3 linked regions of the Alligator mississippiensis genome follow. The protein of the gene in region 2 purifies or fractionates together with the protein of the main gene of each other region. This does not show direct contact. Links are inferred from orthologs where the notes say so. Each region holds a gene or a part of one and is shown on either strand. Other genes may lie near its edges.

The links.
Region 1: the proteins of GIPC1 (region 2) and SH3BP4 purify together in Homo sapiens (affinity purification with mass spectrometry; 4 studies listed by BioGRID and IntAct, with this or other methods). This does not show direct contact. The link is inferred for Alligator mississippiensis from reciprocal best matches to the Homo sapiens genes GIPC1 and SH3BP4.
Region 3: the proteins of GIPC1 (region 2) and ARHGEF12 purify together in Homo sapiens (co-immunoprecipitation; 4 studies listed by BioGRID and IntAct, with this or other methods). This does not show direct contact. The link is inferred for Alligator mississippiensis from reciprocal best matches to the Homo sapiens genes GIPC1 and ARHGEF12.

What each region holds. Positions count from the first base shown.
Region 1 is NC_081827.1:183,718,973-183,729,375, forward strand, and holds the start of SH3BP4 (SH3 domain-binding protein 4), read right to left. Parts: upstream 4,559-10,403; 5' UTR 4,466-4,558; intron 4,256-4,465; exon of another isoform or gene 4,053-4,255; intron 1-4,052. UniProt on the Homo sapiens protein: May function in transferrin receptor internalization at the plasma membrane through a cargo-specific control of clathrin-mediated endocytosis.
Region 2 is NC_081831.1:24,770,563-24,781,111, reverse strand, and holds the start of GIPC1 (PDZ domain-containing protein GIPC1), read left to right. Parts: upstream 1-6,041; 5' UTR 6,042-6,128; intron 6,129-7,442; 5' UTR 7,443-7,487; coding exon 7,488-7,772; intron 7,773-8,192; coding exon 8,193-8,378; intron 8,379-9,048; coding exon 9,049-9,229; intron 9,230-10,405; coding exon 10,406-10,518; intron 10,519-10,549. Other genes in the region: DNAJB1 (dnaJ homolog subfamily B member 1), read left to right, coding at 684-894, 2,774-3,342, 3,453-3,683. UniProt on the Homo sapiens protein: May be involved in G protein-linked signaling.
Region 3 is NC_081839.1:30,423,438-30,433,713, reverse strand, and holds the start of ARHGEF12 (rho guanine nucleotide exchange factor 12), read left to right. Parts: upstream 1-6,186; 5' UTR 6,187-6,500; coding exon 6,501-6,532; intron 6,533-10,276. UniProt on the Homo sapiens protein: May play a role in the regulation of RhoA GTPase by guanine nucleotide-binding alpha-12 (GNA12) and alpha-13 (GNA13). Acts as guanine nucleotide exchange factor (GEF) for RhoA GTPase and may act as GTPase-activating protein (GAP) for GNA12 and GNA13.

The sequences.
Region 1 (10,403 bases), on a different chromosome or scaffold from region 2:
CACAGAAGAAGGTAGGAGAACTCTGGAACAGGCATGCGTATCACGGCCACGATGAGTAGGCGTAAGAAAGTGTACAAAGGCCCACAGCCGAACTATTCGTACTTGGGGTTGCTTATGTCACTTCTGTATTTATGACCTGCTCCCACACCTGCTTGTATCAAAGGAAGAATTTTAGCTACTTTAAATGGACTTTGGCTCAGGCAGTTAAAGACGCAAAAACCATAGCTATTTTTAGGGATGCTGGCTGGCTATCGCTATCACATCTGGTTGGTTATCAGATCAGCACTGATAAAAGGAAAAATTATGTTATTGGCTATCGGCTTTTTTTGGTTGTTGTAGCTGATAAGTATGGCTGCATGTCCAGAGCACCCTCACGTGCATAAGCCGGTACCCCACCGCGGGCCTGAGCCTGCAGCAGGCTAAAGGGCTCAGTGAGCAGCGGAAGTGGAAGAGGGTGCCAGGGAGCAGTCACAGGGCACCGTACTCAACAACAAAGAGATCGTTAGGGCTCCTGCTACTGCTGCTACTGCCATAGCAACACCATGTGCGCAGCAGAGGCCTGAGCGCCAGGGCTGCCACGGAGACATTGGGGTAAGGCACTGCACAAGGAACATTCTGCTTCACCGGGCACTGGGTGCCTTTGCAGAAGTGGCTTCTCCTTGGTGGCCGCGGGAGCTCGGCTGTATGGGTCCCACCAGCACTGAGGCAGCAGCATGTTCTGGGGCTCCAGACGTGCCCGGTGCCACTGTCCGTGGGAGGGTCTGCCCTGACCACCCAGGACAGCAGCACAGGCTGCACAGGAGCAGGGAGGACCCATGGGCGAGGGGGCAACATGCACTAGAATAAGGTGGACACTACCTTCCTCACTCAGGGCCAGAGCAGGCAGGATGTGTGTGTGTGTTATAAATGCAAAACAAACAACAAAAAAGGTTTATTTATATCAGTAGTTTAAAATGCCTTGCACTATTACTAAATATTGGTTATCAGATTGGCAGTGGCCGATATGGTTGGTTAATCATTAGTCAAGAAAATCCTTATTGGTGCACCCCTATCTATTTTACATGTCTATGAAATAACCGTTGTTATGCTGAATAAATAATTATGATACACAATAACATCTAGTCTCTCTGGAGTATATCCTTAATACCAATGACTTGTCTATTTAATTTTCAGAATTCCTCCCAGATGGAAGAGACAACCGCCAGTAATACAATAAAAACCTACCAGGCGTCGTCTCTCCATCAGGCCCCTCCTCTGTCCAGCAACAGATAGGAGGCTTGCAACTTGCCCCACAAGGTCAACAATGTCAGGCTATGATAGAGAATTGCAGCAGCTTTCTCTTTGTCAGTGCTTCTACGGTTTGCTCTGAGCCTTGAATAGAAAGTGCCCACTGCTTGCAAACGAGTGCCTGGCAAGTCAGTGAAAAGTACAGACTGCTCTAGAGAGGTCACTGAGAAGCAAGAAGAGATCCTCTGGAGTTGAAGAAGACAGGACACTCCTCTCTAAAAAGAGGCTGGTTTATGAAGTCTCTCAGCCAGGACTCTCAGGAGGGATTTCAAGCCCATTATATTGACACACAAAAATGCAGAGTAGCAAAATGAAAAGCCATCAAGTTCTGGGAAACAAAGACAAAACAACATAAATGCAGTATCTTTAAGCCATTTTTAAAGTTTCCCTGGTCTAGGAACAGGCAACAAGGCCAAGCTAATATCAAAACACACCCCAATCCTTCTGAGAAGTCTGCTTTGGGGCACTGGATGGCTTTGCTAGCATCATCCTACAAACTAGTAAAATTTTCTGAAGTGTCAATTGCCCTAACGTTAAATCTCTTGCTACCCCCCATAGCTATATACCTGATGTTCCATTTCCCAAAGCAATGCCGGTCCTGTAGGAACTGCACACATTAATGGTCTCAATGCCCCACCCATCAGAAAGAAATGCAAAACTCTACTATTCTTGGTTCAGAGATTATACCTTTTATTAGGCCAACTAAGATGTTGCAAAAAAAAATTATCTTTTTCTGCAAGCTTTCGGGCTCACACACCCTTCCTCAGGCTCAGGGGTAAAATTAAAGATGGTAAGAAGTCCCCAAACGTAAAAGGAAAAAAAAGTCCCGTCCCCCACCTATCAGAAGCTCTTGAAAAGCAACCGCCCGGCAACAAAAGTATTGAATATGCATAAAGCATTATCTAAAAAAACCCAAAACATCAGGAATCAATCACGATACTAAACCACTTTGCAAACAAACATAGAAACAGATTTGCCCCATCAGTCCTAGGCTCAAAATATTGACTGTAAAAGTTAGCTGTAAAACAGTTAACGGCTACAAACATCAACATTGCCTTTTGAAGCAACCCCATCACAGTGAATTTTGGAAAGCACCATGGCATCATCTTTGTTATTCAAGAGTATCTGCCTGACAAAGATTCCCTCCAGTATCTGACCAGTAACAAAAAATATCTAAACCCAATTAGTCATAAGCAGAATATGGTTAAGGGCCTGGCAAGAATGGTCTTAGTAACTTTGTGAGCTCTTTGACGGGACGCATGCCCAAAGGGCAGTTGTTCCCAATCTGTGGTACAGGTACCACCAGTGGTACGCAGAGAACCTGTCAGTGGTACACATTAACAGATTTATTATAATTACTTTATATGACAAAAAATTGCTGGTGGTACTTAAGGTTGTATCATTTTAAGTTGGCGGTGGACACTGTCAGTTTGGGAACCGCTGCCATAGGGTCAGTTGGGAGTAGTCCTACTAAATGCTGTGGCAACAATACAGGTATCTTAACACACGGACAATGTTAAGAAGTATCAGAGCAGGCTTTAAAAGCCAGGTTATTTCAAATGCCCTGAACTTCCTTAGTCTGCCCAGAAACACAGAAATAACTTCGGAGGTCTTTACTCCATGCAAACTTTTTATTACAGGAACACCTAGAAACCCAAACTAAATGTTGTGCTTCAAACGCATAGCAAAAGGCTGTGCCTGTAACTATAAGCTCATAGTCCAAATACACACAGGAAAGAGAGGCTGAGGGAGGTGAAGCGATCTGTTCAAGATTACACAGAAGGTCAGGAGCAGAGCCAGGAATAAGATCTGGTTCTCTCAAGTCCCAGTCTACTTGCTGCCTGTTTATGCTCATAGGTATTTTTAAGGAGTACCAAAGATTACCGCAATATGAATTTTGAGGGACCTCTCTATACTAGCTTTTACAATGTGCGCCGACTGTGGTACCCGGTTAAAAATACAACTTCGACCTATGGAAATAAACAAGCAGCAAAGCAGTCGCTGCTGCCTATTAAGCAGGAGCTCAAAAAGTATTTCACAGAATGAAGAAAGTATGGTGCGCTTCACAGGGCAAGCCCTTTTGCAGAGATAAGATTCCTAGTAACTGTCATTTTTCACCAATAAGCAAGAGGACAGGCATCCTGCATCCCCACTTTGCTGGCTGGCAGTTGCAGCTGTTTAAGATTTCATCCACGATGCACACAAGTCCTGAGCCCTTCCAAAACACCCTGCTATATCCCCCCAGCATCTGAGACCTCTTTCTGCTCAGCCCCCGTCTTTTTCCCCGGTTGGCCTTTAACAAGCACCTTTTCCTCCCTTGCAGCCTGCGTCTCTCGCGACAGGCGGCTTGGCAAGATGGACCGAGGGTCTGCCCCAGTCTCGATGAACGTTTTGGACGGGGACGTCAAAGGGGCTGCTTTGCAGAGGTGCAAGAAGAGCACAACGGACTTGGGGGTCTTGTCTTTTGTCTGACGGAGGCAGAGCCCGTTTTCAAGTGGTTCATTTCTTCCCTTCCGCAGTTCTCTCTCCCTCCTCTTATTCCTCTTCTCTCTCTCTCTACCCACCACCTCTTTTCTTCTTCCCTCTCCACCGCTCCCCCCGCCCGCCCCGGGCAGACACGTGCGCCAGGCCCCCCGCAGCAGGCAAGTGCCCGCTCCGCGGCTCGCCGCGCGGGACGTTTCCCAGCTCCCCGCACCGCCGCGTCCCGCCCGCCCCCGCATCAGCTCCCGAGCTGTCCGGGCCGGGCAGGGCTGCCCCGCGCTTACCTCTGCGGCTGCTCCGGGCGGGTCCCAGCGGCACAAGCCCCAGGGCCGGGGCGCCGCCAGCCCAGCCCAGCCCAGCCCGGGCCGAGCGGCGGGCAGCGAGCGCCTCCCGGGGCGGGAGAAGGCGGCGGAGCCGGCAGCACAGCCCGAGCGCTGATGTCACGGGCGGGGGGAGCTGGAGCCGGAGCCGGAGCCGGGCGGCAGCAGAAGCAGGAGGAGGAGGGAGGGGCCGCGCTGTCTGCCTGTCCCGCCCCGCGGGGAAGGGGCCGGAGCGGGCGGACGCCCCCCGCCGCAGCGCCCGCCTCGCCCTTCCCAGCGCCGCCCCAGCCCCCGCTCCTGCCACTGGTCACACCACACCAAGTTTCCTGGGGGGTAGTTTCTTATGGTGTGGGGCGGGAAAAATAAAAGACTCCTACCCCGGCAACTGTGAAAACCTGCTTTTCTCCCAAGTGGTAACATCTGCACCGCTCCAGGGGTTCAGAGCTCCGGGCGCCCCATGAGGTGCAGGGAGGCCCTCCCGCCTCAGGACGTGGCCCGGCCTCCAGCTCCCGCCCGCCCGCCCGCCCCAAAGGGCCGTGGCGAGGCTCGTCGGGATAGCGTCTCTTCCGCGAGTTTATTAGTAACAGCGGATTTCATCAGTGCGTGCCCATGGCAAATATTTACATTGCACAGGTCCCTCAGCGACCAGTCCTTTCCGAGAAGAAAGCCAAGGCTCCCGCACTTCACAGGGTTATGGCGAGTGCCTGGGGTAGTACCACAAAATAAAAGATGGCATTCAAAGGAGATCTGGGGTGGTTACATTCATCCTGCCTTCTTAATAGGATTCTTCCTGGCATTTTAGCTTTGCTTACAGATATGACTTCAGATACACCTGGGCAGTGGAGAGGAGCACACCACTTTAATAATGTGCCGCTTTACTTCACCTAGAAAGTGCTGGAGAGATGCATCTCTGTTCTGCACATCTTCTGTCTCTCCTACCCCTCTCGGCTGTAAGTTGTTCTAGGCAGGAATCGTTTCTTACCTCGCTAGTGGGGAAATATGTGTAAGTCAAGTGACTTCTCCTTGAGTTATTTTTCCCTGGGTTTGGCCTGACATGACACAGCAGCCAAAGTACAGAATCAGAGCCATGTTTGTGTGCCGCCTTGCTATCCACTCCCTCATGTGTAGTGCTGCCTCCCAGAAGCACCCCCAGCACCACGCTGCAGTCTGATCCCTGCTGCGTGATGGGTGGCGGGGGAACACGTCAGTCCTTTCAGGGCCATCAGTGCATTAAAATAGGAGCCCAGCACTCCAGTGCACTCCAGATTTCTGCCGATGGCAACAGATGGACCTGTCCTAGAAGAAAGACCTAAACCACAGCTCTATCCAAAGTCCTAGCGACTTTTCAGCATTACTCTCTCCAGCTAAAGAACCAATTCTTCTTGCTGGAGAGCTGTAACACACTGGCCTCCTCTGTGGATCAAGAGCAGAGGTGGTATGTGAAACAAACTCTAACCAGTGGGATCTTTCTTTAAAGTGCCTAGTACAATGAAGCTTTCTAACCTCAACCAGAGCCTCTGGGTTATATTATCGTAAGTAGTAATATGACAGCAAACCAGAAGTACAAACAGAAACTGAATTTTAAAAGCTACCAGTGCTACTTCCCCCACTCCCCTCCCCTCTCAGCTGTGTTTGGGTACATTACGCTACTGTCCTTTCAAATAATCTACACCCCTTTCCACTTACAAATGTTTGTGTTACCCCAGAAGAATACTGTGAGAGTGCTGAATCATTGTGGAATTATCAAGAAGCATGCCCAGAGGCAAGAAACCTTCAAAATGTAAACTGTCTTGATCATCAGTTCCTGTATTTAAAACAGTCCTAGATGTTAAAAAACATATGTCATCATTTACAAAAAATGGTGTCTTTAAAACTAAGGTGAGAAAGATTAAAAAAACAAACCCTATTTGCTGATATACATCACTGAAAAGGAAACATGCAAAAAGTTTCTAATGCACTTAGATTAATATCCCTTATTAATTAATATTAATAAATATGCATTTGGATTTTGTCACTTGTTGAACCATTGAGATTAGGAATGACAATATATAAAAATCAAGTGAGTTAGAGGAGTCTGACATTATATCCAGAATGTAGGTACAGGTTTTTTGGGTGTGTAGAAGCAATAATATTGAACACTTGGAATTATTCTGGGTCTAAGACCAGCAGAATTTGGCCCACGGTGTTATATTTGCTGTGCAAGAGCCAGGTCTCTAAATATTCATTGATTTTTGAAGCCAGAAGGCTGTATCACAGACTAGAAAATATGAACACAGTATGACACTGAAGCAGATAAACTCATGATACCAGTACTAGTACTAGTTGACCAGTCAGAAGAAAATACTTCCTAGCTCTTTGGATCACAGTGGGAGGTACAAAGACACTTAGTGCTTCTACACTAGCTCTGTGCCTTTTATTCCTTGGACATTTGGTAAAGAATTTACTTCCATATTTCCAGCAGAGGGAACTCTCTAAGAGCTGTGATGCTGACTTAATGTGTGTGCTATTCCATAAAAATCGCCATGGTAAAATCTTAATTAGGACGTTCAGACTTCCGAGACGAGTTGTGCTGGTCACTGATCAATAAGGGATGACCTAAGTTCACCCTGTACTAGGGATCTCAGGTGTAAGGATCAGCAGTCATGAAAATAAGAACTATATTATTATGAATCATTATATTTCAAATGCCCAAACTGAGATCAGGTTCCCACATACTGGACACTTTGAACATACAGATTAAACAGCAGTTCCTGCCCTAAAAAGCTGAAAATCTAAGTAGACAATGCAGACGAAGAATGACAGAAGACATGATTTGACCAAGGACACATCCTAGGATCCTGGTCAGTGACAGAACCAAGCTCCTGAGTCCCAGACCAGTGTTATGATTCCATCCTCTAGTCCAGCAATACTCAAACCATAGCTGCCAAGTCACCAGGGCTCTTTGACTGATCAGCTCTTTGAAGAAAATGTTATCAAAAGTGCGTGTATAAGTTTCACTGAATGCATTCAGTACAGCTTTCCTGCAATCATGAATAATGCAACACACACGCTAGCTATCTCTATCCATCGTAACTACTGTATTTCCTTTCTTTTGAATCAGACTGTTTGCCAAAATTCACATAGGGGCATATATGTCGTAGCTGTTTGGTTATCACTAGCTACTTAATGCAGCTCCTAAGCCAGTTGCTAATGAGTGTGGCTGCTCTCGAGCACACTTTCTCATGTCTCCCTTCCTCTACAGGAATAGGTATAACAACAGAACTATGTCCATGGGGCCCAGTTGTAATTTCGTCTGCGTTGTGGTGCGACTTGGGAAACCCATTAAAGGTTTTAGTTTGCTTCAACACAGTCTTATGACAAAGAGCTGTCTCCAAATATAAAATTAAAGATTGATTAGAGAATTCTCTCAGCTGCCTCAGAGACACTGAACATCTAGCTGGAAAATGGAGACTATCACCCTGCTCTTGTGTGCACAGCTCTGCCAGTCCTCTCCATTCCAAGCACCCTGATCATGACACGTCAACTTCAGGGAAGCCAGATTCCTGAGTATTGCATTACCCTTCTCAGATTGTATTTTCAAGAAACTGCCAACAGGTATCTCTGAGTGCTGATTCAGACACTAACACTCTTTTTTCACTAGAGAACAGCAACTGGAATCCATCTGTACTTTCAATGAGACTAGTATAGACATTTTGATTTCTGTAATCTTATTCTCAGCTACTACAGCTAAATGGAAGGTAACTTCCTGTCTGACTTGGGTGGCCAGGTGACTGGGATTTGCAAACTGCCTGGATCTACCATCTTGACTCAGGAGTAAAGTAACTGACCACAAGTAATTGAAGATGATTAAAATCAAGAGCGTGCTCGCCTCCGTTTGATTAAGCGCTCCCATGCAGCCTTAGCCCAGACTATGGATTGCGTCTGTCCTGGGCTCGCGGGTGGACCCCACAGGCTACCCCTGCTGACGTCAGGGGGTCCCCTTAACTTGCCTGCCATGACTTGGAATGTTGCCTCAGTGGAGGGGTTCCCCTTTGGGGGAGCCTCCAGGGTCGTTGCGCCTCCCGGCGGGCACTCACAGAGCTCCGACCTCCCCTACACCCCGGCCACTTGCCACCTTGGGCTGCCGATCTCGCTGTCCGGGTTCAAACACCCGTTCTTTGGTATAGCTGTCGTACTTCTCTTTCTGGCGGGCCTGAGCTTCCCTCTAATTCTCGCGGGCTATGTCCTGGGCCACCCTTATCCTTTGCTGAAACTCCTGTCGATATACTGCTGGCTCTTGTAGTGGTCCACCACCTCATTCCCATTCCTCCCTCAGGACTTGTAACAGGCCTCAAGGGCGATGCCCTAAAACTAGCTCGAATGGGGAAAATTTCATCGAGTCTTGAGGAGTGTCCCTAAGGGTAAACAGTACCAAGGGTAGAAGGAGATCCCACTTCCGGGGGTCCCCTTGAATGCAGCGCCTCAGTACTCGCTTTATGGTCCCATTCAGGCGTACCACCAGCCCACTGGTCTGGGGGTGGTACACTGAAGTGCGGATCTGCTTTATTTGCAGCGTCCGGCATACCACCCTCAGGTTGCCGGACATAAAATTCCTTCTCTGGTCGGTTAGAATTTCTCGGGGAACACCCATCCTTGCTATCCATTTCACCAATTTCTCAGCCACACAGGGGGCGGTTACTGCCCGTAAAGGAATGGCCTCCGGGTATCAAGTCACGTAGTCCACCATGACCAAAATGTATTGGTGGCTGAACCTGCTACAGGGAAGTGGTCCCATGATGTCTAGGGCTACCCTCGAAAAGGGGGTACCCTCGAAAAGGGGGTGTCTATAATAGGCATGGGTCAGAGCAGGGCCCTGGCGGGGCGTTCAGTCCGGGTCTTCTGACATTCCGGGCATGCTGCACACCGCCGGGCTACTTCCAAAAAAACCACCGGCTCACTTTTGCCAGGGTCTTGTCTCGACCTAAATGCCCTCCCACAGGGCTTGCATGAGCCAACTGCCAGATAACCTGACGGAACCGGGTAGGCACTACCAATTGCGCCTCCGTGGAACCCTCCCGTCTGTGCCCTGGTATGCAATAAAGGAGGTGATTTCTTACCTCAAAGCAGGGCTGTCCCTCTGGCGGCAACCCGGGGCAATTCCTGGAGTCTTGGGCCTGTTCCCGAAGCGCCCTGAACTCCTGGTCCTCTCCTTGCACTTCCCGAAACTGCACACTGCTGGTGAAGTCGCTGAGGTCTAGACCTTCGGCCTCATCAGCTGACTCGTGGTCCTCCTCCAATTCACCCAGCCATCCTTCGCGGTTCCACATCCTTCTGCGTGCCTGTTCCGCATCCCTCACTCGGTCTAGCACGTCATAAAGTGGCTTCCAGTCCCGACCCAGCAGCATTTTGTATGCCAACTGGGATACTATTCCCACCAGGAGTTCCCCCTGATGCTCCATTACGCGAAGCTGGATCCATTGCCGCCCTACACGCTCGGCTTTGCCATGGAGGCAGGCCACTGTCACCGGCGGGGCTTTCCTTCCCGCTTGTGGGCATACCACATCGGCCCTTACCATGGACTGGGCGCATCCCGAGTCGAGGGTTGCCTGCACGGGGCGTCCATCCACCCAGGCCTTAACGACTGGGCCATGTTGCATTTCCCTCGCCGACCACATAACTACAGTCCATCAGCTCGCTGGCCTCAGGACCATGGCGTCGGTCAGCTGGGCCCCTGGGCCTGTCGGCAGGGATCCAGCGCTCGGTGGACTGGCTAGGGCACTCCCGTGAGAAGTGCCCGTTTTGTCCACACCGAAAACATACGGTGTCCCTGGTAGCTCCCCGGGTGGGAGGACGCCGCCGCTTGAGTTCCTTTGGGGGCACCGTCACTGGTCCCGGGCTCCTTCTTTCCCTGGGGTAGCTTGCTTCCGCAGCAGTGAAGGCCTTGGCCAGTTTCAGGGCCTCTTCGCAGGTATGCGGGGAGTGCTGCCGAACCCAGCGCTGCGTCCTTTCCTCCAGATCATTCTGAAATTGCTCAAGGATGACCTGGTCTGCCAAGTACTCTCTATCCGACCCTGCTGGGCTTACCCATTTATCGAGGAGGTCCCGCAGCAGCTGCAGCAACACCCAGGGACGTTTTTTGTCAGGCCTCTTCTTGGCGCGGAACAGGCGGTGATAGTGATCTGGGTTGATCTCTAACCAGTAGAGAATAGCCTGTTTCACATGCTCATAATCCCTGGCCTCGTCCCTCAGGAGGGCCCGATAGGCAGCCTGGGCCTTACCTACAACCAGGGCACCCAACTGGCTGGCCCAATACTCCTGGTTGAGACTGGTCATATG
Region 2 (10,549 bases):
GGTCTGCAGCTGAAGGCAGTGGCCTGCTACAGGGCCTGACCTTGGGCAGACTCCCTGCACCTTCTCCAGCCCTGGTGCAGGTGGGTTCCACCCCCTGGTCCCCTAGCCCCATCCCTGGCCAGCTACTCCCTGTGGTGGGGCAAGAAGCTATATGGGGGAGTCTTTTTGCTGCCTGGGGGGTAGCTTTTGGGGGGCTCCAGTAGCCTAGGGTGACGGGCACGTGGTAGGGAGTCCTGTTGTTGGGTGCCCCAGCTGGGACGTCATTGGCACCCCGGGGGGGGGGGCAGGGCTTTGGTGGGCGTAACTTCCCCCTGTAGGTGTGACCAACACTGCGCTCTGTAAGGTACGTCTAGCCTCTGGTACATACATACTCCCCCTCCCTTTCCGGAAAGGGGGCGTGGCTTTGTCGCTCCCAGCGTCCCTCTCTTATTGGCCCTCACAGAGGTGAGGGCGTGGCCTTGACGACAGTTACCCCCTCCCCTCCACCCCGCCCTCACACAGGCAGGTCCTCGCGCGCCCGCCCTCTGTTGGGTCACGCGCCGGCAGCAGCGGGCGTCCATTGGCTGGGGCGGCGGGGCGGAGCGGAGGCTCCGGATGGTTGTGGCGCTCTCTGGAACGTTCGGAGCCCAGGTATAAATGGGCTGAGACTGGGGCGCTGGCGGCGATCGCGGCCGGGCGGCGCCATGGGTAAGGATTATTACGGCACGCTGGGCCTGCAGCGCGGTGCCTCAGACGAGGACATCAAGCGGGCCTACCGGAAGCTCGCGCTGCGCTACCACCCCGACAAGAACAAGGAGCCTGGCGCCGAGGAGCGCTTCAAAGAGGTGGCCGAGGCCTACGACGTGCTCAGTGACCCCAAGAAGCGGGAGGTCTTCGACAAGTATGGCGAGGAAGGTGAGCGCCCGCGCCGTGTGGGGCTTTGGGGCTGCAGGGTTGGGGGCGGGGAGAGGATCCCAATAGCAGCGAGGCTCTGCGGGGCTTGCTGCACAGTGGGAGGGGTGTCCCAGGGAGCGGGGCCTGAGCCGCTGGGGGGGGCAGGGCTGGGGGGGAGAGATGCCCCGAGGGACCCGGGGGCGGGTCCTGCTCCATAGGTGGGAGAGGGGAGTCGGGTCTGCGGGCTCTCCAGGGGGAGTGGGGCTGTGGTGGGGAGCTGGGAATGGAGTGCAGGCTGGGGAGGGGAGGTCTGAGAGGAGTTGGGCTGTGGGGGAGGGCACTGGGGGGAGCTAGCCTGTGGGTGGAGGAGGTGACAGTGCAGGGTCCCCCAAGTGCTGGCCAGGGGTCAGTGCTTTACTGCCCTGGGCTGGGGCTTGCAGTGCAGAGTTGCCCTTTGAGGTAAGGACTATATCCTGAGGGAGGGCTGGGACCTCTAAGGGAAAGGGCATGAGGTGCTGGGAGACTTGTATCCCTGGCTTGGGTACATGGTGAGGGCCTTCCTTGAGGTGTGTGCCAGTCCACAGCTGTCTGCATAGGCTTGATTGGCCTGGGGTGCCCAGGGCAGAAGCACCTCCCCCCCTCCCCCCCCCCCGCAACCCTTCCCTAGTTCCAATGCTGGGTTGGAGAAGATGAGCCTGATGGGTCTTCTGAGGGGAGCTGTGGGCTAGGGCTGACCAGTGCTGCCCCTGGCGCCAGCCTAGCTGTGGAAACGGAAGTCAGGAAGCAGCCAAGCAGGACTGACTTGAGGAACAGGGGAGAGACCTGCAGTATGTGGCATCTTAGAAAAAAGTGGATACAGGCTCTTGCTACCTGTGCGGGCTTGGAAACTGGCCAGATGAATCCTTATCTCTTGCTGCTAGCTGCTAACTTTTAGCTTTGACACTGTAAAGAGTCCTTATTTCATGCTTTCTTGGGGCCTGTTCTAAAGCTGAAGGACAAGGACCTGGGGCACAGTGTGCTTGCCTGACTCCCCACCTTAAGGGTGGAAGTGTCAGGATTGGTCTAGATCAAGCCTTTAATTTAGCACTGAGGGCACACAGGCTTGTTCTACTGCTCCTTGCATGAGCCTTGCAGCTCCTGGCTCATACCTGTGACTGAGCTGTTGCTTGGAGACAGTGGGTGAGGAACCAGAACTGGCAGAACAGGAGAGAAAACATCCTGAAACAGCTTTGCAGTTTTTGTAAAGCTGGCCTGTGTTCTTGGTAGACATTGAGCTTGCCCTTGTGTGCCAAAGTGTTGGCAGGTCTGTGTGGATTGGCTGTGTTGGGAGAGGTGGAGCCTTGCAAGGGCGTGGCTTGGAGTTACAAGCAAACAAATATGCTAGAATCTTCTGTGTTAACTTGAACTCCCTGCAGCCCCTGCCTTAATCTCCCAAGGCAGGAAGAGCTTGCCTTGCTGTTTCCAAGCACCCTCAATTGCTATTGTGCCTCTGGGGCTGCTGTTAAGCATGTGTTTTCCTTCAGTTCAGGAATAGGAAGTCCATAGGCTCCTACGTTCCCTGCCTTGATATGGGGAGGGGGAATGTTAACCCAAATGATACAATCAAATTCACTGTATAAACTGATCTGTGTTTGAAAAGCTGGAAGCTCTGGATATCAGAACTCTTGGAGGTGACTCTAATTTCCCTTGTGATTAGAGAAAGTACTTGCCAGGTCAAGATGAGACTTCTCTTCTGTGAGGCACCTCAGAACTGAAGGATGAGACAAAATGACAATGGTGGTGGGAACAGAGGCCAAAAGCTTGGATGGTTCTGGAGCTGGGGATCTGGAATCCTGGGGTAAGCACATGAGTGAAAGTGGAGACTGATAAACTAACAGCAGGTTTATTGCCTGTTTTTCAGGGCTAAAAGGAGGTGGCTCCAACATGGGAGGTGGTGCTAATGGCCCATCATTCACCTACACGTTCCATGGAGACCCTCATGTTGTGTTTGCTGAGTTCTTTGGAGGCCGGAATCCCTTTGATACCTTCTTCATGCAGAGGAATGGGGATGAAGACATGGACATTGATGACCCTTTTGTCACCTTCCAAATGGGAAGTTTCAGCAATGCGGGTTTCCCCCGCACCCGAGGGGGCCACAACAGCCTTCGCCGGAAGCAGGACCCTCCCATCACGCATGACCTGAGGGTCTCCTTAGAGGAGGTCTACTCGGGCTGCACCAAGAAGATGAAGATTTCTCACAAACGTCTCAACCCGGATGGGAAGACGACACGCAACGAGGACAAGATCCTAACCATTGAGGTGAAACGGGGGTGGAAGGAAGGGACCAAGATCACATTCCCCAAGGAGGGTGACCAAACGCCCAACAACATTCCAGCCGACATTGTCTTTGTTCTAAAAGACAAGCCACACAGCATCTTCAAGAGGGATGGCTCGGACATCATCTTCCCAGCTAAGATCAGCCTCCGAGAGGTGAGTTAGGGGGTCTGGGTACAGGACTCGCTGGAGTTCTAGCTTTGGGTCTGGGGTGTACAGACCTTTTGTTGAATTTCATGGTCTCTCTGACTTGTCTCTCTCTGCAGGCCCTGTGTGGCTGCACGGTGAACGTCCCAACGCTGGATGGCAGGACCATTCCCATGTCATTCAAAGACATCATCAAGCCTGGAGCAAAGCGCAGGATCACTGGGGAAGGTCTCCCATACCCCAAGAACCCAGACCAACGCGGGGATCTTATCATAGAGTTTGATGTGCGGTTCCCAGACAGAATCCCCCAGACATCCAAGAAAGCTCTGGAGCAGATCCTTCCCATCTAGTTTGTGCAATCTGTGGACCTGAGACCAAGACTGGCTGAACACCAAAGCCTGTGGGACCATAGCCTTGGGCTCCAGGCTGGGGCTCTGGGAACTTGGTTTCAGTGCCTTGACCCAGAACATTGCTTGAATCACCTACACCAGTGAGCTGCTACATTTGGGAGGAGCCTACAGACACACTGCTGACAAATCATCTTGTAAGGATGTGACCAATGACTCAACCCACTGTCTGCATCCTGGGCAGCCCTAAATAGGACAGCTGCCTTGCACTTCATCTCTTGCTGAGTTGGAATCCCTTCACCATGTGGGGGGCATAAACTCCAAACTGGACAGTCCTTACTGTTGTAGTCCTTGCTTTGTGTCTTGTGTTCCTTGTTAATTCACTGGAGAACTTTTATCCTGGGTCACTTGGATGTTCTTGGCTATGAATTCCCACCTCAGAGTCCTGCCTGCCTATTTTGTTTGCTGGAAGGTGGATATACTCTCGCTGAACTTAATTGTGGGTCTGTGAAAATAACCCTGGTAAACACTAGGGCTTAAACAAATGTCTTGAAGATGAGATGAAATGAATAAGCCCTGGAGTTTAAACCAGTAGCTATCCAGGCCTAGAAAAATAATGCAAAGGGATTTCCTGGGTCTTAAATATAATCTGCTTTTTCAAATCTTTTTTCTGAAGAGACTTTCATAGATGCATCCCTCTACATTCTTGGGCTCAATTCCTGGTAGGGCAATGGGCTGAGCAGGTATTGCCTGGTTCTTGCATCTCTGCCAGCAGCAGAGTCTGACTCCTTTCCTTACTCACAGTTGCTGTCTTAAACCAGAGGATTTTGGCCAACCACTGAACTCTGGGGCATTTGAGGCCTTGGCCTCTGAGCTTGTTAACACCACCTTTGCTATCCTTTTTTAATTAAAGGGTTCCTGCTCCTGGTACAGGAGCATTACAGCACTTCTTGTACATACTTTGTATAAAAGTTGTGTAAATTTGACATGTAATTAAAATGCAGTGGAGAGGCTGGTTTATTTTATAGGATTGTATCTGAATTAAAGACTCATGGGAGGAGCTGGTGACCTTCCCTTTTTTTAAACATGCAGCACTGTTTTGAAGTATGGCTGGACTGACAATTTTCAGTTACTAATGTGATAAGACCAAACTGGGGTTACGATTAAAGTCTTGGTAGCCAAAGCCCTGTGTGGCCTTATTTGGGGGAGAGGTATCTGTCCTGATGTGGGAAGCAATATTGAGTTGCACTTGTTAGACACTGAGTGGCTCAAAGTGGCCTTTCCCACAGCTGCTGTTATTTTACTAAGGCAGGGTTTTAAATAGGCTAGATCCCCACTGGGAAGGGTGGGGACAGTGGGTGTAGGGCTAAGATTAGGTGAAGCAACTGCAATGTAGATTCCCTGCCCTGCGTGGAACAAAAGATATGCAGGTGCCAGCTTAAAAGAGCCAAGACCTACGCTCACCCAGATCTTTATTAAAGCCACTAGCAACTACTAGCCCTCATCCTGTGGGTGCAGCTTTTCCTGCTTGTTGGCCTGGCTTGCTGTACAGGGGTGTGTCCCACAGCCCCTTGCTGAATGAACAAGGGTGTGGTGAAAGCCCAGAGGCCCAGACGCATTCAGCCCCTGTTACTCCTTAGGAGAAGGATAGAGTAGGATTTCCTGTTGGCACAGGTAGCAATTACATGACACTCCCAGGCAGAAGCAAGATCCTGGGTTTTCCCAGCCGGTAGCTTCCCCTGGGTTGGGCCCTGGCCGGATCTACATGCTTTTCTCCGCAGCTGAGGGGATCTCGGAGCCTAGATCCCTGCCTTCTGGTCCCTGGCAGCTACAGCCAGACACCTGCATTCCGGGACAGGCCGTGCTGCTTGCGCTCGGCTATAAGACAATACGGGCCTCCTGCAGCCACCTCCCAGAAACTACGGGTCCGGGCGTGCCTCGAGCGAGCATTGTATGACGGGACTTGTAGTCCAGCGCTCGCGCCGATGTGGTTCAGTGCGTATGGTCCCGCCAAGACCTGCGAGACCCCCGGGATGCACCTGACTTGGCTGCCCACCCGACAGCACACCTGATTGGCTCGTTCTGGCCGGATCTGGTCTGCAATTGGCTGGGGGCGTATCCAACTCCTCTGAATGGTCTCTCCTACGCACTCAGCAAATGTTAACCCCTCCCCCCCAACCACTCCCCGCACTCCCCTCTCATGGTACCTCCCACCTTCCCCTTCCCTGGGTTTGGACGCTTCCAACTGCACCCAGGCGGGGGAAGCGGCTGAATCCGGAACGGCCCACCCAGCCCTGAACGGCAGGCCGCGCTGCGATTGGTCGGCGGCAACGCAAGGCCGCTCTGTGATTGGCGGAGGCGCTGAGGCTGGTCCCGCCCCCCCTCCCGGCGGCGCAGGCCCCAGCTGGAGTTGGGTGGAGGTGCGGGGTGGCTGGCGCGGGTGGACGCGTGAGTGTGGGGCTGCGATGGGGGGAGGGGGCAGGGGTCTTGAGCCGGGCGGAAGGCGGGGGCTGGTTCTGGGGTCTGTGCCGGGCGCGCCGGGGGGAGGGCACAGAGCGGGGCGTTAGGGCTGGGGGGAGCAGGGTTGCCATGTGCCCCTGGTCAGGGGTCCTGCCTTCTGCCACTGCCGGGCACCCAGGCCATGACCCCCCCCCCCATCGGGCAGGAGCACAAGGCAGGACTCCTGGGTCCGGTCCCAGGCTCAGCCATTGATTCCTCTCCCCCCGACCTGACATGTCCCTCTGTGCCTCAGTTTCCCCACATGGATGGGGGAGCCCCTAGCTGTTGGCTTCCCGTTTACTTACCCGTTTGGCTTCCCTGAGGCACCAAGGGAGCAGGGATGAAACCTGGGGGCAGTGGAGTGTAGGAAGTGCTACACCCCCACCCTACACCCCCCCCCCCCATGCCCTGGCTCCTGCCCACACTGCCCTGGTGTTGCTAGGCCCTGCTCAGTCACAATGGCGAGGTTGCCTTTAACTTGTTCCCAGGCAGGAACCCTGCCCTCCCTAGGCACATTAACAAGCCTGGTCCTCTACCTGGACCCAGGCCCACAGCAGGTAGCTGCTGGGGACCTACCAACCCCCTGGGTGTGGGGCTGAGCCAGGCCCCACGACCTCTGCCAGGCCCCCAGCACCTGCCAGCTTGGCCTGCAGCATGCAGCCACCTCTGGGGGGGACCAGGCCCAGAGCCTCTGGAGAGACCAGGGTGGAGGAAACATACCCAGCTCTGAGCATGCAACAGCTGAACTGCCACATAGAACAGGCTGGAAAGATGAGTACAATAGACCCAGGTGTTGCAGGGGGACTGAGGCCTTTTCTGGCTCTGGGATATGCAGTCCCAGGAGAAGGCACTGGAGGGTCCCTGGCAGCTGGCATGGGGGAAGTGGTAAAAGCTTTCCTCTGCCCCAGGAAAGGGGCAGGGGGTGGGTAGCCACATTTCCCGGGCATTGGAAGAACCCGCTGGGGCCCGTTCCTCAGCTCTGAGTCAGCCGGGCATGGCAGCTCCACCCGCATTCCAGTGCCTGGTGCCGGGACCCCCCTGCGCTGGCTTCTACCTACCCCTGAGGGGACAAGGAATCTGGGAGAGCATCCTGGGGGGGAGGAGCCATCTTTGGGGTCCAGGGAGCCTGGGAGGGGGTGCAAGGGTGGTCTGGAATCTGGGGTGGGGGACTGGTGTCCTGCGGGGGTGCAGTTTCAGTCTGGTGCGGCAGCTGGGCTGGGACCCAGGTGCCCTCCCTGCAGCCTCTGTCCCCCCCCCCAACAGGTGTCACCCGTGGGTGCTGGTGCTGGCCGTGGTCCCCCTGCCCTCATGCCGTTAGGCCTTGGGCGCCGGAAGAAGCCCCCCCCGCTGGTGGAGAATGAGGAGGCAGAGGTGGGGCGTGCGGGGCCAGGTGGGGGAGATGGGGCAGGGGGTCCAGGAGGGCTGGGAGCCCTGCATCCTGGCCTGCCTCCCCCGCCTGCTGGCCTGCGACCCCGCCTGGTCTTCCACACACAACTGGCACACGGCAGCCCCACAGGCCGCATTGAGGGCTTCACCAATGTGCGCGAGCTCTACGGCAAGATCGCTGAGGCCTTCCACATCCCCCCCACTGAGGTGCCTAGGGAGGAAGGGGCACAGGACCTGGAGCTACAGGGGGCTGAAGCTGTGGGGGAGGCTGGGGACAGGGGGTGTAGGTGGAGGGATAAGGGGCATGGGACAGGTCTAGTGGGTGGGGGGGGCAGACAGGGAGACAGGTCCTGGGGGGCAGCCGGTGTGGCTGTCTGAAGGGATGGGTTTAGGGCCTGGGGTAGGTGAGCAGGTGGGAGGCTTGGGGCAGAGGGTGAGGATGGGTGGAGGGATGATGATCCAGGGCCTGAGGGGCCCGGTAGGAGGCAGGGGTGGGCAGGGGGTTTGAACCTCAAGGGGGGAAAGGATGGGGGTCCTGGGCCTGGGATGCAAGAAGACAGGGTCTGGGGGGTGAGAGGCAGGGAATGGGGCCTCTTGGTGTTGCTCACCACCCCTCCCCACCCACAGGTGATGTTCTGCACCCTCAACACACACAAGGTGGACATGGAGAAGCTGTTGGGGGGGCAGATTGGCCTGGAGGATTTCATCTTTGCCCACACACGGGGGCAGCGCAAAGAAGTCGAGGTGCTCAAGGCTGAGGATGCTCTGGGGCTCACCATCACTGACAATGGGGCCGGCTATGCCTTCATCAAGGTGGGACCTGACCCACAGCATCTGGTGCCCATCACTCCTCACCCACAGCCCCCAGGGTCTGGGTGGGATCACAGCCCTGCTGTCTCAGCCCAAATCTCTGGCATCTGCTAATCCCCAGTTTGTGATGTTCTCCAGTTCCGGGGCTTCAGACTTTCGCCCTGCTGTTCCATGCTGCCATGTTCTGCCCCAAAGCTGGGCACATCTCGGCAGTGGGCAGAAGGCCCCATGTATGGCTGCAGGTCCGTGCCAGGGGCTTCAGCCCCTTCAAAGTGAGGCAGTGCAATCTGGGCAGAAGGAGTCAATGCAGGGGACATGTTCGATCCAGCTGGGGACACAGGGGTCCTTGTGCTTCAGGGCATGGCAGGGTCAGGAAAGACCTAGGCTTCGTTCCTGATCACTAGCTCCCTGCTGGTGCCCCTCACTCCTGACTCACAGTCCACTGCTCCCCCAACCCAGCCAGTGCCCCTCACTTCCAGTCCCGGACCACTGCCCTCCCCCTGCCAGCTTGCCATTGTCCCTTACTCCCAACCTACAGCCCTCTGTGGTCCCTGCCTGGGCAGGGTTAGGAGTGAGGGGCCAAGGCCAGCTGGCTGTGCCAGGAAGGCACTGGGGAGGGGGGGTGCTCAGGCTGTCCCAGCCATGAGTCCCAGTGCAACCCCTGCCCCCACAGCGCATCAAGGAGGGCAGCGTGATTGACCGCATCCCCCTCATCGGTGTGGGTGACATGATTGAAGCCATTGATGGGCGCAGCCTGCTTGGTGCCCGCCACTATGAGGTGGCCAAGATGCTCAAGGAGCTGCCCACGGGCCGGCGCTTCACTCTGCACCTTACTGAGCCCCTCAAGGCCTTTGGTGAGTTGGGGTGGGGGGACCTCCATGAGGCAGGGGCGGGGCCTTGTGGAGCAAATGTGGAGCTGGGGCAGGGATGGAGTCCTGGGGGGAGGGCCTCAGTATGGCAGAAGTGGGGGCAGGACCCTGGGGTGGGGCAGGAACTGGGTGGGAGGGCAGGGGCAGGGCTCCAAGTGGAGCATTGTTGGGTGGGGAGCCCTGGGTGCTTGGTGCTGGGGGAACAGAAAGGGTGAAACAGCCCATAGAGGGCCCTCACCCCCCAAACACTTGGCCCTGGGGCTGCACTGCCATGCAGGGACAGCAGATGGTGCTGTGACTCTGTGGCCCATGGAGACCCTCCCAAGGCTGCAGTGCCCACATGTGTCCAGGAGGGGGCAGGACCTCCTAAGCACCAGGTCGGGGCTGTCAGCAGGAGACACCCTGTGGCCCAGGGTAGCTGCCCAGGACAACACCCCGCCCCCCCCGCCCCCCCCCCCGGCCAGGAGCAGAACCTGGGTGTCCAGGCCCTGGCACCTCCATTGGCCTCAGCCACTGAGTTCCTTCCTGCAGTGACTCATGGGGTCCTGGGATGGGTGTTGGGGGGGAGCCGCTTCCTCTTGGCTCTTGGATCCTTCCCTGCCAGTAACTGGGGGGGGCTGCTCTGGCTGCACAGAGTCCTCAGCCCTGCCAGTGCCCCACACTACTGACCCAAATTCCCTGTCATGTGTGTCCCCACCTTCCCCCGCCTCCAGCTCTGCTGCTGCCCCTGGGACAGGGTCCAGCCTATTGCATTGGTTTTTAATGAGCACTGGGCTGCAAGTGCCCCCCCACTTCCCAACTGCACCCACCAGCCCTGGTCCCCTGCAGGTCCCTTCCCAGAGGCTGGTCCCACCCCCTCACCCGCAGGTGCCCATGCCAGATGCACCTGGACCTCCCTTCCCCATCCTGCCCTGCAGGGAGAGCAAGGGGCCTGTGTGCAGCAGTGGCTGACGCAAACCGCCTGCTCCGTGCCAGGCCCGGTGCGCCATCTGGGCGGGGCTAAGCCAGCTGGGGGTGCACAGGGGAGCTTCAGGCTCCAGGGGACCATGGACTGGAGTTGGGACCCCTCCCTCCAGCCACAGGCTCTTGGCCCTGTTGGGGGTGGAGCTGGGAATTGCCCCCTCTGGCCCCATACTGATCTGGCCTCTTGCTCCCCCACAGATATGATTGGGCAGCGGTCATCGGGTGCCCGGCACGGGAGCAGTGCTCAGCTGGGCACGGGCAGGGGCACCCTCCGTTTGCGCGCCAAGGGGCCAGCCACCGTGGAGGAGCAGGTATGAGTGGGAGGTCCTGCCTGTGTCATGC
Region 3 (10,276 bases), on a different chromosome or scaffold from region 2:
TAGTCATGTTACTTTGTTTCAGAGGGCCTTATGCCTTAAAATTGATAGGACTTGGCCGTTGGAGGCTGCCCTACAAACCTTGATGGGTCCTTGTCGGTTTTGCCAAGTATACAGTTAAAAGGAGTGTGATTACATTTCCAAGGGGACAGCAGGACCAAAGAGCTCCTATGTCCTTAAGTGGTTTAAGCACTTAACTGGCAGACTGTTGCTATGTAAACATTAGGCAAAAAACTGGGGCTAGGCTTCTGTTATGCAGTTAAGCAAATGATGTCACTGATCCAATATACTTGTAAGTGGGGTAGACTAGTGCATTTTATCCCCAGTACTAAATCCATCACCTACAAGCATGAAGCACAGAGAGGCCCCAGTTTCACAGTTGATTTCAGTTGCTCCTGAGAATCCTCTCAGTTCCCCAAAGCACTTGCACTCACTTCTGCTGTATGCAAAATGGAGATAAACAGATTTGAAGGTCAGAAGACATCTAGGTTCATCTAGCCTAAGCCCCTCCTATGTAACAGGCCAAAGCACATCAAGTAGTGACTTCTGCTTCAGATCAAAGCTTCCATTTAAGCTCCAACCTGCATTTTAGGATGATGTCTAGTCCTGCCTTCAAGACAACAAGCGTTGGAGAATCCAGTGCATCTGCAGGTAAATTATCTCCATTAGTAAACGTGTTCAGAATGTGAGAAGGATTCTGCTTTAACCAAGATTCCCTATACAGTTACATTTCTTGCTCTGCTTTCACCTAGATTTGGGTTCATGTTTGCATCCTGCAGTGAAATGCAGAAAGGAAGGGGTCTGAAACTTTCTGAATAGTACAAAATAAATTGAAAGGGTGCAAATTTTGGCAACCCAAGATAAGGAAACAACAACTGGTCAAAATTTGAAACGGTGACTATTTTTCTTGAAATGTTGGAATCTGGAATACTGTGAAGGAAGACAGCTTTAGAAGACACTCCAGCTCTTTTGTGAGCTCTACAGCAAGTAGCTCTTTTTCCTGAAAGCTTGACCTCTTGAATGTTGGGTATAACCTTTGCAAAATATTCTTCTGGTTTTTGTTTTTCTTTCTTTCTGAATCATGACAATTCACCTAATAAGTCCAGTGCTTGCTATGTAATTGTGTTCCATCCTTATTTTTAAGTGAAGATACAGGAATGGAAAAAAGCTGGTATTTCTGCCTTCCATCTTTCCTGTTGTTCTGTTTGTGCTACTGACTTCCAGCAAGTGGTGAAGCTAATTTCTTGTCTCTCTTTCCTATGGAGCCTTGAACATGAGTTACAACAGCTGAGCCTAAGTACCAGTGAATTGAAGCCAAAACCAAAGTCAGGAGTGAAATGCAGCTCACTAGTTGCTCGCTTCCCCATGGGATGCATGCAGCCCTTCCATGCTCAAGCCAGACTTTGCACGGTGTTTCTCGGGTAAGCCCGCAACAATACATGGGGACTGAACCCAGGTTGCATCTGCCATCAAACTCATCATCTGATGTTTGATTAACCGGCCCGTTTCGGATGCTTGGACCTTCTTGTCCAATATGTCCCTTGGTCAGTGGGGTGATTTTCAGATGGGAGGCAATACTGGGAAGTCCCAGCAGATGGCAACAGGTCCTTGGGTGATGTGTAGGCATCACCTAGACTCCTCATCCAGTTCTTTTACCTTCAGAAATACACCCTGCAAAGCGCTTTTATATAAGCCTGTCTTTTCAGGAGTCTAATAAAAGATACCTCTGAGGAGCTATCATCTTCTGCCACCCTGTGCTGTGACACCAGCTGAGGAGTTACGGTTCAAGGGACTCATCTTCTGCAAGACGTGTAGCTCTCTGTCTGGATAGTAAAGAGCATACTCAAGGGAGCAATGTTGCATTCCCTTGGAGAAATGGAGTAGGTATCTTAATAGGTGTTTTCACAGAAACATAGATGTTACAAATGGAAGGTACTATCTATAAATTGCAGGTTAAGTGAGGATTTTATAGCCACAAAGATCTATTTTAATTGGTGCTACACACTGTAATTGCTTATTGATTTCTTTTTTTTTTCTTTTTTTTGGGCTCCTGGCTTTCACACTAAAACTGCTCAAGCAGCAGAAACCTCATAAATACATAGATATGAAAATAATAGCTGTGCAGTCAGAGTCTAACAAAATCAACACATTGCTAAAAAGGTAATTGCTACTTGCATGGGGGCTTCACTGTGGATTGTTTTAATTAGCTCTCCCTTAATTGTTGAATGAAAGAAAAATAAATGGCCATGTGAAGTGCTAGAGGAGAGCAGTAATCCACCCAATAATGCTGAATTTGATCATGCTGAGCCAAATTATCAGCTACTGCAGGCCAGTGCAACTCTTCTGATGGTAGTAGAGCTGAGCTGGTGTACAGTAGCAGTCTATGTGGTCCCTTCTCATTTTGGTGTCTGCCTGCACCCAGGCCTGCCTCCTAATTGTTTTATTGCAAAGTGTTGATTTTGTTGTGCATAAAAACCTACATTAAAGAAGACACCAAGGCCTAACTTATAAATAGCAGATCTGACACACACAACACAGGCTCTCTTAGAAACCCATCTCTCCCACAGCTAGTCCCTCAGCATAACTCACTACCCGGAAACCAAAAGGGGAAACAGCTATTCTCTATGTCTGAGAAAATGGCAAGTGTCATCTTAAGAATGATTTCATCTCATTTCCCCTCCTGCAATGCATCTGTTTTGGACCCAAAAGTGAACTGGGTGCTAGCATAGTTTTATGGTTTGCAGCAGCTAGTCTCACGTTATTGCAGAGACTTTACTGCAGGGTACAAATCTCTGGACAGGTCAACTCCTGATTATGCTGCAAATCTTTAACGCCTGGGAAAAGCACTGCAGTGCTGCTCTCAGCAGGAAGGAGTCTGTTATACACACTTGGTGCTAGTGAATGGGGCATTTGCTTCAATCTCTAGTAAGAAAAGACCAGTGGGCTCCAGGGGGTGTTATTACTGCCTTGCCCTGGGAGAGGGGGTGCCACAAAGCCTTGCTAGCAGACCTGGCACCTTGCATGAATCCATGCCACTTGCGCTTGAACCTGTGGCACTGTGACCCTCAGTGGCAGAGATCCTGCATGAACCTGTAACTACAAATCCTTTCTCATAGTATATGTGTGAGAGGCCACCAGGGTGAGCGTTAAACTAAGTTGGCCGGGGGGACGGGGACGCAGAGGAACATGGGGACACTTTGCCATCAAGCCAGGTGACGCGCAGGTAGTACCCAGGTACGTGATGGGGCTAGGGCAGGTTTAGGAACAAGGGGACGGCACGGGCACCTACAGGAGGCCTCAAATGCCTCTACACAAATGCTCAAAGCATGGGGAGTAAGCAGGAGGAACTCACTCTCCTGCTAGCTAGCAAAACCCCAGACCTAGTGGGGCTCACGGAAACCCGGTGGGATTCTAACCATGACCGGACAGTGGCCATCGAGGGATACAGAGCAGGGAAAAATACACGTCCTCAATGATCAGGATGAGGTCAGAGGAGAGGCAAAATGAGGTGCTTTGGGTAAAAATGCAAGGAGGGTGTGGGGAAAGGGACTTGATATGGGCGTCTGCTACAGACCGCCTCACCAGGAGGATGAGCTGGACCGGGAATTATCAGGTCAGCTCACGGAGGCTGTAAAGTCAAGGGATGTGGTCTTCATGGGTGACCTAAACTACCCAGACATCTGCTGGGAGGAGCAGGCAGCCCAGTCCGACCGCTCACTTAGGTTCCTAGCCAGGATACAGGACCTCCACCTAACCCAGGAGGTGCATAGTCCCACCAAGGGAAATGCCTTGCTTGGGTTGGTCCTTGCCACAGGCGACGACCTGGTGAGGGGTCTGCGGGTACTCGACCACCTGGGCGACAGTGATTATCTCCTGCTGGAAAGCAAGCAGCAAGGCAGAGGTCCTCGACTTCAGGAGGGCTGACTTCTATGAGCTAAGCAGGTTAGTAGGAGAGGCAGTGGTGTCTTGGAGCTTTAATGAGATGGGAGTCCAAGACGGGTGGTTGTTCCTCAAGGAGACGATCCTCCCAGCTCAAAGGGAGTCGGTGCCAATGCACACCAAGGAGGGCAGGAGTGCTAAGAAACCCCCATGGCTCAGCAAAGACATCCAGGGATGCCCGAGGGCAAAAAAGGAGTCGTACAAACAGTGGAAGCAAGGGGCTAACACCAAGGAGGATTATACCTCCATTTTTAGGACTGCAGGGAGGCTGTTAGGAAGGCCAAGGCAGAGATGGAGCTAGGGCTGGCGACCAGAATTAAGGATAGTAAAAAGTCCTTTTTCAAATACATAGGAGTCATAAGAAGGCACTGGGTACCATGGGGCCCCTCCAGGATAGGTGTGGCCATCTGGTGATTGCAGCAAATGAAAAAACTGACCTCTTTAACAAATTCTTTGCCTCCATAATCCTGAACAGGGACCAGGGCATCTCCCCACTAGAACTGCAGACGGACCCGGAGGAGGCACCACCATGCCTAGTGTCAAGAACAACCTAGTTAGGGAACTTTTGGAGGGGCTGGATGTATTTAAATCAGTAGGTCCAGATGCTCTTCACCCACAAATTGTTAGCAGGTTCAGGCTGGACATCAGGAGACATTACTTTACAGTTAGGGCTCCCAAGGGAGGTGGTGCTCTCTCCTACCTTGGGGGTCTTCAAGAGGAGACTGGACAGACATTTGGCTGGGTTGATATGACCCTGGCACCCGTTCCTGCCCGGGGTGGGGGGTCAGACCTGCTGATCATCCCTAAGCACTATGATACTATGACCTTGGATGCGTATGCCTAGGCAACAATAGGGAGGAGCGGAGGTTGCCTAGACCAGTGTTTCTCAACCTGTCGGTCGCGATCCAAAAGCGGGTTGCAAGAATATCTGAAATGGTTGCGAACGAACTTAAAAAATGGATTCTCCTTTAAAGGAGAACAAGCTGGGAAACTGGCTTTTCCCTTGCAGGCTGGCAAACTTCCAGCCTGCAAGGGGCAGCTTGGGGGCCTCCTGCCCCACACCCTCAGGGCAGGGGGTCGGGAATGAGGGGCACGGGGTTGAGACTGGCCATCAATGTTTACAAGTGGGTCTTGATACAAAAAAGGTTGAGAACCGCTGGCCTAGACCGTCCATCCCACCTGGAGACAGCTCCCAGGACGCTGGTCCCTCGGTGGCTGTGGTTACCTGCACATCCCAGAAGCAAACCCATGGAGCAGGCAAGGAGGCCACCACTGAACCACGGTAATGCGGCCCGTGAACCTTTAGCATGCAGAAAATTGCCCGCGGCACTTGGTAATAGGGCACCTAGGTGGGGTGCATGGTGTTCACAGGGGTAGGGACGTGCGTGCTTGCCGATGCACGGGGTTAGAAGAGGTAGGGTGGGGTGCCTGGGTCTGCTGCTCTTGTTCCTGGCGCAGGGGCTCGGCCCTAGGACAGATGGGGCGGGGAGGCAGCACCCCTGGAAGGCGCTGGGGCAGGTGGAAGCTGCCGGACTGGAGATCTGCCGGCTGCAAAGACCGAGCCAAGCGCCGTCCGTCCTGCCTGGCAGGAGCGGGACTTAGTGCCTTGCTTCTCTCCATGCAATTGTACAGCTGGAGCCCTGCCACCGTGTCACACCCATGGCTACACGTACCAACACACATGTGCACGCACCGGTACACACACGGGTACATGGATACGTGTACAAAGCCACATGTGCATAAGTACAGACATAGACACACCGCCGCACACCCTTCTGCACACATGGGTACACAAACACACACAGCCAAACATGGGGACACGCTACTAGGCGGGGACACACTACACGCACCCAAGTAGCTGTGCAGTCATGCACACCGCAACACACTTTCCAACATGTGCGCAGGTACACATGCGTACACGCTCACAGGTACACGCAGCTGCCCATGCACGCACAGGTACATACATGTGCACATGGGTATACATGCACACACAGGTACACACATGCGCGCGCACGCACGCAAGCACGCGCACGCTCCGCCGCGGGGCGGGGCGCGGGGGCCGCAGGGACTCGTTGTCCGCGCGCGGAGGGAGGCGGCGGCGGCGGCGCGGGGGCGGAGCGGTGCGGCGCGGCCGGGCCCGGCCCAGCGCGGTGCGGCGGCGCGCAGGGATCCGCGGCCCGTGAGGCGGCGCCTCAAGTACGGACAGGAAAATAAATAAATAAATAAACAAACAAACATCCCCGCGCGGCGCTCGCCGCCCGCCCCGCGCCCGCCCAACCCCCGCAGCGGAACCGGCGGCGCCGACCCGACCCGACCGGCCCGGCCCCCGCCCCCGCCCCGCCACATCCGCCGGGCCGGGCCGGGCCCTAGCGCAGCGGCAGGCAGGCGCGGGAGCCTCGGCCGCGCCCGGGACATGGGCCCCGCATCGCCCCGCGCCCGGCGCCGCCGCCCCCGCACCGACACCGGCACCGCCACCGGCACCCGCACCCCCCGCTAGCAGCGCCGCCGCCGCCGCCCCCGCACGGAGCGCCGCCGCCGCCGCCGCCCGCCCGGCCGCAGCCCCAATGAGCGGCTCCCAGCCCGCCGCCACCGACAGGTCAGTGCCCCGCCCGCCCCGGCACGGCCTGCGGGGCCTGCAGCGCGTCGGGGCGCGGGGCCTTGCACACTCGTGTGAGCCCCTCCCCCTCTGCACACTCGTGTGTGCCTGTCCCCTCCCCCCACCCTGCCCCGCACACTCGTGTGTGCCTGTCACCACCCCCACCCTGTGCCGCACACTCGCATGTGCCCATCACCTCCCTTGGCACACTCGTGTGTGCCTGTCACCACCCGCCCCCGTGCCACACGCTCGTGCCCATTACCTCACGTTACACACTCGTGTGTGCCTGTCACCACCCCCCCGCGCCACACACTCACATGTTCCCGTCACCTCACTTTGCACATTCGTGCGTGTCTGTCGCCTCTCCCTGCCCTGCCTCGCACACTCATGTGCGCCCATCACCTCTCCCGGCCTTGCCTCGCACACATGTGTGATCATCATCTCCCTCCACACACTCGTGCGTGCGTGCCTCTCACCACCCCTACCGTGCCCCGCACACTCATGTGCCTGTCAGCTCTCCTAGCCCTGTCTTGCACACCCGTGTGCACCTGTCACCTGTTGTGTGTGTGTGTGTCCCGGTCACCCTGGTGCAGGGCCGTCGCCTCCCTCGGTCCCTGCTGCGTTCCGCGCCCCACGTTTCCCCCCGGCGCTCGCGGTGCCGTGGGCACCGGCGACCCCACACCGCCTGCGCGGACGGCGGACGAGCCGCCCAGTAACCCCACACGGCAACTTGTGGAGGCACCGCGGGGATGCGAAGGAAGGGGGCTGCTTTTTTCTTTGCATTCACTTTTCGACTACTAGGAAACCCCTCGCCCTGGCACAGCTTTCAGGCAGGAGAAGCCTTGTCCTGCATAGGTGCGAGGGACGGCACCAAGCGAGAGCAGAACGGTGCGGGCTGAACCGCGTTTGCGCCTTAATGTGACCTGCGGTGCCTGAATCCGCTGTGAGCACGCTTTCAGGGCCTGCGGGAGAGGGCATCGGTTGCAGAGTTTGGGCACGAGAAAGCGGCTCTGACTTTTCATGAAAGTTTAGGCCTCCACATTTATTCTGGCAACGCGAAGGATTCTTGCTGTGCGTAAAACAGCCAGAGTCCAATAGAGAGGAAGCAGGTCTCCTGCATTTTCTTTGGGGGACCCATTCGCCGCATACCGAGGATTTGAAAGGAGTTTTGCAGCATGCGGCATTTTTGCTGGAAATATAACGATTTGCTTGTTTTCTGCAGTGTGTGAGGTGACAGCAGGGAGAGAAGTGTGTGTGAATTGTGTATGTGTGAGTGCATGCTCCCAGGCAGATTTTCACCAGACCTACCTCTTTGTACCTGGAGGGATGGTGACAGCAAGGAGAAGATACTGTTTCAGTGGCTCAGTGAGACTCTGTCGGCGTTCAAAAGGAGCACGTGCCTTAAAACAGCTTGAAAGGCAGCTTAGAAGCAGTAGGGTCATCTTCCTCGGACGTCGGTGCCTCGCTGCACCAGGAGGAGTCCAGGAGGGCGGCAGGCTTGGTTGCTAATAAAAGAAAATAGTTTCCATGATTGCATTTGGGCAGGCAGGCTGCAAACGCTTCCTGCTGCTTTCAGTCCTGGTCCAGGCATGTTTCCGTGCGGTATTCATTAAAAGCGCTCGAGTAGCAGCTTTAATGCTAGGAAAAGCAGCCGGCTTGAGGAATTGGGAGATGTAGAAGCTTTTGGATGTGACCTGGGTACGGCCACGGGGCCTTGCCCCTGACCTGGAGGAACCCCAACTGTCATGGCGAGAAGGAAATTCAGCTTTCATGGCCTGTTTGTCGCTTGGCTGAGGCTCTCGACCAAGTGCCAAATGTGACGGTGTGTTCTCGTGATGTGGACATCTGCCTACTCGAAACTGGAATGAGGCCACCCAGTCCTTTCATATCGGGCACAGAACGGGTTTCAGAAAGCACTGCCCTGGCAATCTAGTGGTGGAAAGCTCTGGGCCCCGTTAAAGCTGAAGAATTGTGTTTTGCCTCTGAATGGGAAGCTCTTAATTGAGAAATCTTAAAGCAGGTATGACCTAAATGCAGGGCTGGTGGCGTCAGTGGGATTGCAGGGTATAAGAGCATATTTTGGGTTTAGCTCTGTGTGACAGTCTATTTATAAGTCTTGGCATTCTGACATGTCCATGGTTGTGCTGAAACCCCCTTAGGATAAAGCAGCGTGGGCCCGTGCGTCTGAGTTAGGGTGTGATCACCTTCTGCTTGACGATGGCTGATGATGATCAGGTCTTATCTGGATTTTTTCTGCTTTGGTTTCGCCAAGTTCACCAGGAGCTTTCTGGTATCGTACTGACATTCGCCTCGACTGGGATTACACCTGCTCCTAACTCTCATCGCTCAGCTCATCTCTTGCACTAACTGTACGCAAGCTCTGGTGAACAGAGAAGGTAGCGGTTTCACTGTTGCTCCTAGACACGATGGGTTAGGTCGCAAACCCCTTTCCCCTTTTAGTCTATTGCTCCTTTTCTCTAACACTCAGCAGATTCTAGGTGTCTCTGTCATTGCCCGGGGGCATTTGAAGAAATGCTGTCAATTTGCATTGGCTTGGCTTGGGATAGTTGTGTGTCTCAAAGCGCATCAAACTCTTAGTCCAGATCTGTTTAATCATAGGTGTGTCCCGTCTCTGTATTCTTCTGTGTTACTTGATACACCTGCCCACTAAAGCAGAAAAGTTGTAAGGGATGATTTCCAGCATCTCCCTTCCTTTCCCTTCCCCCACTCCCCTGTCTAAATACCTGGTACTCAAAGGCATTTACTTATTTGAATTTTATAAAAAAATGACAGGTTTCATCAGATTTTTGACAGCTCCTCCTCCTCACCAGAGTTATTTTGGAAATAATAAGGAAGTGGCTGGCATGTCCTAAGAATGGAGTGAGAGCATCTGTTGTGTAGGGTATGCCATTAGGTCCCTAGAGAAACACTGAAACATTAGAAGCATCCTTCTCTTAAAAAAAAAAAAAATTAAAAAAATAGCCCTATGGAGTATGTGCACAGAACTGCCTGGGATAGCCTGGAAGGTGCAGCCGTGTGTGCCCTGGGTGAGGTCTCAGCGTAGAAAGGATTTGGAAACTTTGATGCAAGGGCGGTGAGACTTGCCTCCTTCCCTTCCCATGCACGCTAATGGATACTCCCTTTGAACTGAACTCTGGGGTAGAGGCTTACCTGAGCTAATAGAAGCAATGCTTAGTTAACCCAGGGAACAAGGTGTTCCCAGCTGTTTGCACCTCATTAAGGCCTTGTTTATTTGGAGAGCCTGAAGGCTTCCAAAGCTACTTTGGAGTTGGCAGACCTAGTTGAAGGCTGCTGGTAGGAGCCTTGGGATTGACAGCTGCTAGTCAGGGTCACACGTTACGCAGTTCAAACTGCTGCATTGTAAAACAGACAGTGGAGCCAGGTTCCCATGTGCTTAACAGATACGCAGATAACTGAGGTTTGTTATGGTGTGCAGTAGACAAATACAGGGGATGGGCCTGTTATGCACGTCGGGGACTTTGCACTGTGCTGTACTGTACTGCTCTCTCCATAATTTAGTCCTGTCACCTCTTGGATGGTAACAAATAATTCTTTTCCATCTGTGGTGTTTATACCCTGGAGGTTTGTAAATAATCCCCTAATCTCTTAACTGTGGATACGGTACATTCTTCTAAAATGTTTTAGCCCCAGGGTCTCTACTTTTGCTCTGTGTTCAGCTCCTTTTTAGTTGGTAACATGGTTTGTTTGTTTTTTTCTGATACC